2 linked regions of the Callithrix jacchus genome follow. The protein of the gene in region 1 interacts with the protein of each later gene in a pairwise test. Links are inferred from orthologs where the notes say so. Each region holds a gene or a part of one and is shown on either strand. Other genes may lie near its edges.

Region 1 (5,595 bases):
CTAATTTTTAAATTATGCTACAAGTGAATATACAACTTGGATTCATAAAACCTTCTATTATCTGTAGCAACAAGCTGATCTGGACAGCAGTCTTTCAAAATGAGCCCCATAGCTCAAAAATAGTCAATCTAAAAACCTGCATCATTCTTTCCCCTCCCCTGAATTAGCTACTAAAATGTATTTGAAAAGTTAAGACTTGGTTTGAAAATGTTATACATACAATGGGGATGCATCAGATCTACTATTTGATCATCCGATAAAACTTGCATAGCAAGATGGATTTCAATAAGCCTTTTTTGTTGTTGACAATCATCTGGAAGACTTGAAAGTTAACTACAGAACTCAAAGCATTATTCATTAAGTATCATAATGTCCCTGCCATATGGAAACAGATGTATAAATGAATCAGGAATCTGAATATTGGTATTAACAAACTAAGGAGTAATTTTGGGGAAGTCGGGCTTGCTCCGAATGCCCATAATTCTAAATCTCATTGCTATTTAAACTTTACTTCCTTAAGTTTGATTCACAACCACATTGAATTCCAAAAAAAATTAACAGGACCTAAACACTATCCACTGTCTTAATACATATGCACTACAGTGAGTGCAAAAACAAAACATTGTACTCAAATTTAATGCTAAATTTATTATTGCTGATAACTTACTAGTTATTGCCATTTGCAATTAGAAAGTCCAAGTTACGAATTAGAGTTTAGAACTCTGACTACAGAAAACCTATTCAAGGGTACACTTCAATCTCTTTCCTGTATAACCTTGGTCAATAGTAAGAGCTTATCGCAACTTATTGCCTTTCTATTGTTTTTAAAATATAACCTATTTCGCTTTTCTCTTTTCTTTTTTTTTTTTTTTTTCTTTTTTTTTTTTTCCTTTTTCTTAAGGAATCCGTTCATGTTGGAAGCCCGGATTCCCCAGTATATGCACTAGTGGTTGGCTCTGGGAAGTAAGAGTCACCAGAGTCTGGAAGTTCTTCACTTGAACTTGAGTAGCTGTTATACTAGTGGAAGCCAGATGGCCAGGTATTGGCAATGGCCAGGGAAATCCCAAGCTGGCTCCATAGCCAGTGGCTAGGGAAGAGAAAGGTCAAGTAGACTGATAAAAATTGTACTTCAACTGCCCTTATTCATAGATACAACTTTCCTAACAGTCTCACTCTCTACCAGTCCCATATCCACAACCTACTCACAGGCTTCAAGCAGCAGGACCTTGCTACATTTGCCCTAAATCTCCACATTGCAGCAGCTCCACCCTGTCCCCTCAGCTCCTCCAATAATGACCTTTTTTTTTTTTTTTTTTTGAGACGGAGTTTCCCTCTTGTTACCCAGGCTGGAGTGCAATGGCGCGATCTCGGCTCACCGCAACCTCCGCCTCCTGGGTTCAGGCAATTCTCCTGCCTCAGCCTCCCGAGTAGCTGGGATTACAGGCACGCACCACCATGCCCAGCTAAGTTTTTGTATTTTTGGTAGAGACGGGGTTTCACCATGTTGACCAGGACGGTCTTGACCTCGTGATCCACCCGCCTCGGCCTCCCAAAGTGCTGGGATTACAGGCTTGAGCCACCGCGCCCGGCCAATAATGACCTTTTTTAAAACTCTCTTCCCTGACTGCTATATTTACACATAAATTCCCTAGTGTTACTGAAGCTTCAGAGCTGCTGCCTGTATACTATAATGTAACAAAAATAGCCTTGATGGCCAAATATAAATATGATTTCAAGATCTACCACAGTCCTAGAAAATAAGCTTTATGGGCTGTGAATGGTACCATGAAGGTTTCTCAAGAACCGTATCTGGTTCCCTGTATTCAGGTAACCACGAGTTTGTGCTTTGGGAAGAATGCAGAGGGCTGTAAAAATTCAGGAGGCTTATTTAAGCCTTGCCCTCTTTAAAATTTATTTCATTCTTATTTTAGTGTTTAGTTCGGGTTCTAGTCTTAGCAGTGTTGTATGGTTACAATCTACTCTTCTGTTTCCTCAACAAGTTGCAAATAACACAAACTTCTCACAAAAATGATTTTAAAATGACTCTGGAAAAAAAATTTAATCTGAATTGCAAGTAAATGTGTTTGTGTAGATCAGGATTAATGGGTTTCTGCTTCTCCCCCCATCAGAGCTCTCCTCTAGCACACCCAATGACAAGCCCAAAGGGCTTCCACATCATCTCTGTTGCATCAAGAAGCCAAGATGCTTCTCCTGATAATGTCTGTCCTCCTGCTGATAGTGCTGCTGGTGTGTATACATTTCTTTTCTGATGCCTCACTCTCTGAGTCACTCATTTCCACATCGGGGACATACCCGTCATTCTCATTGTCAGATTTTAATTTGCTTTTTGCCCTTTCCTTGGCTGGAACTCGGCCTAAGCCCAAATATGGGTAGTCTGAGTGCTGGTGGCAGGCCCCCTCATGGGCCTCTCCCTGCTGCTGCCGTTCCCCCTTCTTTGGAATCCGGAATCCTCCCCAGTTTTTCACTGGGCTGGCAGGTGTTGTAGGCACTTTGACTGTGGTCTGATTATAGTTTACTTTGATTAGGGAGCCATTGCACTTGGGCACGATCTCCTTCCTTGTGCCAGGTGCTGACTGCCCCACTCCAGGGGAGGTGGCAGCTCTTGTGTTGTCCAGGTGCCTCTGGGACACATCTGTGGACCTGAGAGGCTTGTGACTCTGTTTAAAAGATTTGTCCTTTAAGTCTCCTTTAATGAGATCACAATGAAAACGATTGTCTCTTCTTTTCCCGTGGTCTGGCATCACCACACCATTTTTCTGTTGTGCTGATATGAGACGTGCTTCTGCAAAGGTCTTTTCAATACCCAGAAAGTTTTCTGGGACCACCATCCCCTCCCTTCTACCACACAGGTCTGGCTGCTTCAGCAGGGTTTTGCCTTCACTTCCAGTGCTATTCTGCAAAGGATCTCGCTTATGGGGCTTTTTCAGTGAATGAACCAAGGAAGTACCCATTTGTTTTCTGAAGAATGCAGAATGCCACTTCAGGTCCTCTATCTTGGGAGCATCAGGGCCCACAGAAGGACTGTTAAACAAAAGCATGTTTTCCAGTGAGGAGGAGGAGCAGGAAGAAGAAGGCACACCTAGGAACATAGAACAAATAAACAAAAATTACAGCAGAAGCAAATTCAAAAGAATAAACTTCTAGACCCTTAGTGTGGCCCAATTTATGTGAACTCCCCACCCAACAATACAATGCCAAGTTTGTACAAATTTGGTTTTTATAGTAAAGATATGACCTGCCTTGAAAACCTGCATTTCGTCTGCAGATTCAGTATGCCCCATTTTCTAAAACAGCTGAAGCTCACATAATTTTTCATAAAACTGTTACTCTTCAAATAATACATGTTCCTCCAAAGTAACTGATCTGATTTTCAAAGGGGACTCCATGCAGAACCCATCAGGTGCCTGATGGCTGCCTCTGCCCCCTTCCTGGTTACAGAACAGCCACTGCGCCACACTTCTCCACTGTCCAGTCTTATGCCTCCCACACGAGACTGAGTGTACCCAAAAAGCAAGTACTGGGGCTTCTAAGTTTCTCTAAAGTGTCTATACCCTCAACAGGGTTATTGTGAGGATAAATACATGTAAACGTGAAATGAATAAAGGAAATGTTTAAAATAATTACTGATATATCATAAGTGTTCCAAAAAATACTCACTATTATTATGTGCAAAATACTTTTGTGGGATTCAACTGAACTGTCATTCAACTTGAAGTAAGTTAAACTGATGTTTTTTAATATTTTTATGCAAATCTCAGTAAGACTAAATTCCACAGCATTACCTAGTAAAAGTTCACATTTCATGAAATAATATTAATCCTCGTCACTTGATAATGCACCTTGACATTTTCTATTATACTTTATTTTTAATGCTTGCCATGACCCACTGAATTCATCTCACAACTCACTAATGAGTTGTTACCCCAATGGGTGAATTCACAGCACAGTAGAGTTCATCATAAAGACCATGATTCTGCAGCAGCCTCAAGATCATCTCGCAAGAGCAAGTCTCATGTTTTCTGTCTCCCATAAGATATGAACCACCAAGAAAACAAGGTTCAGCCCCGTATGAGACAGGAGGCCATGAGAACCTAGTGCTCACCAGACACAAACACTGCAAGCAAATGAAACATAGCTAGCGACTCAGAACACAGAGCTGTCATGACCACAGGAGGAGGTATTTTACAACCTGCTGGTTTGGAAATGCCTGCTTTCTCAAGAATCAATCATTCGAATCAACCTTCACATCACACTGAATATATTTCTTTTACTCCATCACCTGCCATGGGAAAAGAGAATGGTTAAGAGGCTAACATTTTCTGAACTCTGATTTCTATCTCCTTGACTGTAACCCATGTCTCTAAAGAGCCTCCAACTCATGACCCTCCCCCCATATGCACTGTTTCCACTGAGGACACTCTCACTCAGCCAAATAACCCTACCCACTCTCAGAATCACACAGTTTAAACCATGGACCCTAAATGACACATAAATCACGACCATCTGCTCTACTGCAGACAGGAGACAGCCTTTAGGCATAAATAAGAACACAACTGAAGCCTTGGTCTGGAAAAAGAAAAAAAAAGCACCTAAAGGGTTTTGGGAGCTTTACTCAGCAGCATCCTCCAGGAAGATGAATGTTTTCAACTGATCATACCTATGGTTCTCATCTCAGAATGAAAGGAGGATTTGTTTTCGTTTTCTGAAACAGTAGGAAGATAGTAAGACTTCTGAATGCACATCTACATTACAACTATGTTACCACAAAACAACTCCCAAACTTACTATCATTCGCTCACCCAGTAAAATCCTCAGCCATGAAATGCAAAAACCTGCCTACAATATCCACGAGAAATAACTTGAATGAAATCAGATGAAAATGCTCTTTATGGCTTATTTTTACAGGTAATCACTCATTACATAATGCCTTAAGAGTTGCAGAAAGCCCTCCGATGGCACAACTCCACAGACACAACTTGCATTAGTGATCCCAGCTCAGCATTTGCTGGCTGTAGGCTCGATGATCTGCACCAGATAGTCTTCCAAGGGCATTAAATAGATCTCATTTATTTGTCTTCAAGTAGGAATCATGAAGAGAGAGTTCACTGTAGAGACTCTGAATCAAACTACTTTTACATATGACACCCTACTTAGAAAATTTATTTTTAAAATCTTAACAAACTCCAAGTTGCAGCTAATGATAAACACTTGATTCATCTGGAAAATACTTAATCATGGGAAGAAAATATCTAGGATATCAATAAGTTATTGCATTCAAACTATGTAACACTTCAAGAACATCATTTAAACCTCCCTAAACTTTTTATTTGTTCAGCTGACCCAGCTCCCTCTAGTTGCACATAACTGGTTAGATAAACCAGAATTTGGACTGAGGGCAACAGGTTATAACAACTTACTTTTTGTCTCTATATGCTGTAATAATCTAGATAGAGTGACAAAAAGCCACAAATGCACAAAAACAAGAGTGTATCAACTATGATTGCACAACGCAAGCACCAAGAATGGTACTGCTATAACTTTAAACAGTAGTCCAAGGCAGGAGAGAGGCTCACT
Region 2 (5,485 bases), on another chromosome or scaffold:
AGTAACACACTTCACAGAGCTGCACAGAACTTGAAACAGTCAAGACTAGCCTGGCCAACATGGTGAAACCCCATCTCTATTAAAAATACAAAAATTAGCTGGGCTTGGTGGTGGGTGCCTGTACTCCCAGCTACTTGGGAGGCTGGGGCAGGAGAATTTCTTGAACCCGGGAGACGGAGGTTGCAGTGAGCTGAGGTCATTCAGCCTGAGTTACAGAATGAGACTCCCGTCTGGCTCACATCTGTCATCCCAGCTCTTTGGGACACTGAGATGGGAGGATCGCTTGCGCCAGGAGTTCGAGACCAGCCTGGGCAACATAGTGAGACCCTATCTCTATGAAAGATAAAAATGTTAGCCTGCCATGGTGCCATGCTCCTGCAGGAGGCTGAGGCAGGAGAATCACTTGAGCCCAGGAGTTCGAGGCTGCAGTGAGCTGTAATTGCACCACTGCACTCCAGCCTGGGCAATAGAGTGAGACCCTCTCAAAAAAAATTTTTTTTTTTTATAAATAAAATAGATTAAAGGGGCCCTTCTGTTGTAATTAGGGAGCTGGAGGTCATGCCAACCCTTTTCTACCTGTCCCTAACTCTTCCTCAAAGCAGCCTCTCCATTTTGACTTGTTCCCTCAAGTACATTGATTAAGCACCTTCTTGTGCTGAGAACTGTGGCACCACAGAAGCAGCAGTGGGGAAGACGGGCTCACAGTGAGTTAGGGAGAGAGTTATAACAGCCAGCAGAGGGCACAGTGAGCATGGACATGCAGCCTGCATGTGAGCTTGACTCATGATGGGCTTCTCAGAGGAGGGGTGTTTTACGTTGGGTATTGAAGGGCGAGTAGGAGTTCACCAAGGGAGTTCGTGGAAAAGGGGACACCCCTGGTGAAGGGAATAGCATGGGTAAAGGCACGAAGCTGAGAAGCCACAGTGTGATTCAGGAAGTGCCAGACCAGGTTATGTGGGATGGGGAATGGGCAGAGGCCTTTAGTGCTTAGCCTAGGGCAGTGGGGAGCCATAGAGGAGTTTAGAGCAGAAGAGGAATGTGGTCAGTGGGGCAGTGAGCATGGGTTGGGGGCACAGGGGCCAGACCCCCTCACATATCCCTATCACCTACAGACCCCAAAGCCCAAGAGGAAGGTGGAGATCTGGGAGCAGAGCATTGGCAGCCTGGGCAGCCGGCCCCCGCTGTCGGGGCTGGTCGTGGTGAAGAAGGCAAAGGCCCACCCGGACCGCAGCAACGGGCAGCCCCAGGCGGCCCCAGCCCCAGGTAAGGTCACCGAGTTTCCAGAGCCGGGCGCGGTTTCTATCGTGGCCTCTAGGTGGCGGCAGCGCTCCCAGTGCAATTAGGGAGCCTCCATTGGGTAGGTGGGGGGCAGCATCTGAGCCCCACAGGACCAGTTAGTGGTGAGTAGAGAAGTCAGGCGGCTTCTTTTTGTCTTTTATTTACAAAAGGAGCCAATGCTTGCTTTTAAAGCCCAAGTCACGTGGGAGTGTGCAAAGTAAATGTCAAATCCGTGCTTCCCTATGCGGCCTTCACTGTCCGCAGATGCCAGGCTGCCCCGTCCCCTTCCCCGGCTGTCTCTACAGCATGCGTGGCTCCGCTGTCACACACCTGGTGCTCTGCAGGGGTGAGAGCCCCACACCCCCAGCCCCGGGTAGATGGAGGATTGGGGTGCGGTCAGCATTGCCAGAATTCGGAGTGGAGCAGCCCGGGAACAGATCCCTGCAATTTCCCTTGGCTTATCCTATGGCCCTGGCCAAGGACTTCCCCCCAGCAGGGTCTCAGTGTCCTGTCCTGTAAAATGCAGCTAAGGGGACCCACCTCACGTAGATGGGATCAGTCCCCAGGTTTGGGTTGATTCTGTGAGTGCTGGCAGTTGAGTAGGCCCTGGCACACGGCGAGCCTTGGAGACGCTCGAGACATTTTTGTCAGCACTGATAAAAATTACGCCATTTGGCTGGGCACGGGTCTCACACCTGTAATCCAAACGCTGGGAGGCCGAGGCGGGCGCGTCACTTAAGGCCAGGAGTTGAAGACCAGCCTGGCCAACATGGTGAAACCCTGTCTCTAAAAAATACAAAAATTAGCCGGGCACGATGTCAGATGCCTATAATCCCAGCTACTTGGGAGGCTGAAGCAGGCGAATTACTTGAACCCGGGAGGTGGAGGTTGCAGTGACCCAAGATTGCGCCACTGCATTCCAGCCTGGGCGACAGAGTGAGACTCCATCTCAGAAAAAAAATTGTCCTGGCACAGTGGCTCACGCCTGTAATCCCAGCACTGTGGGAGGCTCAGGTGGGCGGATCACCTGAGATCGGGAGTTCAAGACCAGCCTGGCCAACATGGTGAAACCCCATCTCTATTAAAAATACAAAAACCAGCCGGGCACTGTGGCTCACGCCTGTAATCCCAGCACTTTGGGAGGCTGAGGCGGGTGGATCACGAGGTCAAGAGATCGAGACCATCCTGGTCAACAAGGTGAAACCCCGTCTCTACTGCTTTGTAAAAATACAAAAATTAGCTGGGCATGGTGGTGCACGCCTGTAGTCCCAGCTACTTGGGAGGCCGAGGCAGGAGAATTGCTTGAACCCAGGAGGCGGAGGTTGTGGTGAGCCGAGATCACGCCATTGCACTCCAGTCTGGGTACCAACAGAGAAACTCTGTCTCAAAAAAAGAAAATCAGCCAGGTGCAGTGGCATGTGCCTGTAATCCCAGCTACATGGGAGGCTGAGACGGAAGAATCACTTCAGCCCCAGAGGCGGAGGTTGCATTAACCAAGATGACAGCATTGCACTCCAGACTGGGTGACAGAGCAAGACTCCATCTCCAAAAAAAAATTATTTGTAGGGTCCAGCCCTACAGGGTCCTGTGAGCCCCTCTCTGCTGGTGTGAAGATGAGGAACTGTGGAAATAAAACCCACAAGACACCAAGAAAGAGAAAAGAGAGTTTGGGCCCAGGGGTCCACTTCCAGCCAAAGCGCGGAGGCCAGCAGTCACCCCAAGTGCCTGGACGCTCTTGAGTACAAGCAGTGGGCAGGGAAGGTAGGCTGAGGGAGTGGTGATCGGTGATAGGGTCGGATAAATCACATGTCTTGGAGATAAGCGTCCGGGACTTTCAAGGAGCCGAGGCAAGGAGATTTTAGACCAGCGGGCGCTTTCCCGGCTCTGGGGCTCCCGCACAGCCGAGGCGCCCTCCAGCAGCCTTACGCGGCGTGACAGAGGCTTGGAGCATCTTGCCCTGGGGTCACTTTGTTCACGATGTCACCTCAGTTCCGTGCTTCATAACCCAATAATCATGAGTAAAATAAGGGTTATGCTGAGTATATATCTTTATAAGTGAGTGACCAGAGGATTATATATGATTATAGAAAGGATTTACTATGGGCCTACATTTCTAATTCTTTTCTAAGTTAGTATTTAGATGGGAACAGGCTGAGGCTTCACATCCTTGCCATGGCACCTGCAGTGTCCCCCCCACAATTATTCCTTTTGTCAGAGGAAGAGACTGCAGGTCAGAGTGGCTTTCACAGCCGGGTGCAGAATCCGTCCCTGTTAATTGCCTTAGTGGGATTTTTCCTGGGGCGGTTAGGTCCTCGGTGACTGCACCTTGAACTTGGCTCCATTTCCAGTTTTTGCAGCGCGTGCTGCCTGCCTCGGCAGGGGCTTCCATGGGTCCTCGCTCAGAAGTGAGCTGTCGAGTCCAGAGTGTGCCGATGTGACTGCGACAGGTCCCATCAGGTGCCATCCAGAAAGGCCAGGCCATTCGCATGCCATCACCCTTGGGCCTTGCAAACCCGCGGAGGTAGCCGGCTCCGTGCTCCAGGCCTTGTCCCTGGCCCGTCCAGTCTGGAGCTGAGGTGGGCTAACTCTCACTCTCCCCCCAGGACCCCCACAGAGCAGGAAGGAGGCCGACCCTGCGCCCCCGACGCCCGGCGCGTCCTCCCTGAGCCAGCTGGGCGCATACCTGGACAGTGACGACAGCAACGGTAGCAACTGAGCCGTCCTAGGACCCCCACACCGGGTCAGGCTACAAGACCAGCTTCCGCCACATCGAGGCCGGCGTTGCTGGTGGTCGGGGCAGGAGGCTTGGGCGTGACCAGAGCCCCAAAGGACAAGCGCCAGCGTGCTCCAAGCGCATAGGGCCAACAAGGGCGTCAGCCCCAGGATGTCACTCTTCTCTGCCCTCACCAGCCTCTCAACACCTCGGGGACCCCTGCTCCTCCTGCCCCACCCGTCCCTACCTGTCACTGTGCTCAGGGCTGCGACATCCCTGGAATCTCAGCTTCCATCTCTACTTCAGGGTGGCGGCATTTGGAGGATGGGGTGAACCTGCCTCTAGACGGCCACATGTCTTCCTTCCACAAACTGTCAGAACCAATAAAAGGAAACCTGCCAGCCAGCCCGGGCCGCCTCTCTGTCCTGGAGTCTGATGAGAAAGCCCAGGACAAGGTCTCTGTTAGCGTCATTCCAGGGTTGGTCCACAGAGGCTTGTTTATTTTCTTTGAGACAGAGCCTCGCTCTGTCACCCAGGCAGGAGTGCAGTGGTGCGATCTCAGCTCACTGCAACCTCCACCTCCTGGATTCAAGGGATTCTCCTGCCTCAGCCTCCCAAGTAGCTGGGATTACAGGCACCTGCCACCACGCCCAGCTAATTTTTATATTTTTAGTAGAGATGGGATTTCACTGTTTTGACCAGGATGATCTTGAACTCCTGGCCTCATGATCCGCCCACCTCAGCCTCCTAAAGTGCTGGGATTACAGGCATGAGCCACCATGCCTGGCTCACAGAGGCTTGTTTTTTTTTTTTTTTTTTTTGAGACAGGATCTCACTTCTGGACTCAGGTGATCCTCCCACCTCAGCCTCGAGATTATCTCGGACCTCAGGTGTGTGCCATCATTCCTGGGTAACTTTTTGTATATTTAAGAGAGACTGAGTTTTGCCATGTTGCCCAGGGGACCTTGAATTCATGGGCTCTGGCAGTCCTCCTGCCTCAGCTTCACAAAGTGCTGGGGTCACAGGCATGAGCCACTGCGCCTGACCCAGAGTTTTAGACTTAATTGTCACCTGAGTGTGCCGAGGCTTACAGTCTGGGCTTTGTTCTTTTCTCTTTTTTTTTTCTTTTTTTCTGAGACGGAGTTTCGCTCTCGTTACCCAGGCTGGAGTGCAATGGCGCCATCTCGGCTCACCGCAACCTCCGCCTCCTGGGTTCAAGCAATTCTCCCGCCTCCGCCTCCTGGGTTCAAGCAATTCTCCCGCCTCCGCCTCCTGAGTAGCTGGGATTACAGGCACGTGCCACCATGCCCAGCTAATTTTTTGTATTTTTAGTAGAGACGGGGTTTCACCATGTTGACCAGGATGGTCTTGATCTCTTGACGTGATCCACCCGCCTCGGCTTCCCAAAGTGCTGGGATTACAGGCGTGAGCCACCGCGCCCAGCCCTCTTCTTTTTTTTAAATTTATTTCTTTAAAAAAAAAAAAATTGAGTCC

The links. The genes of interacting proteins can lie anywhere in the genome.
Region 2: the proteins of JADE1 (region 1) and YJU2 interact in a two-hybrid assay, tested with the Homo sapiens proteins (2 studies listed by BioGRID and IntAct). The two-hybrid records come from large-scale screens. The link is inferred for Callithrix jacchus from reciprocal best matches to the Homo sapiens genes JADE1 and YJU2.

Annotation. Positions count from the first base shown.
Region 1 is NC_133504.1:68,404,255-68,409,849, forward strand, and holds the end of JADE1 (protein Jade-1), read right to left. Parts: intron 4,724-5,595; coding exon of another isoform or gene 4,665-4,723; exon of another isoform or gene 4,605-4,664; intron 4,301-4,604; exon of another isoform or gene 4,124-4,300; intron 3,101-4,123; coding exon 2,190-3,100; 3' UTR 1,469-2,189; downstream 1-1,468.
Region 2 is NC_133523.1:4,012,055-4,017,539, forward strand, and holds the end of YJU2 (splicing factor YJU2), read left to right. Parts: intron 1-1,112; coding exon 1,113-1,263; intron 1,264-3,881; coding exon 3,882-3,994; 3' UTR 3,995-4,396; downstream 4,397-5,485.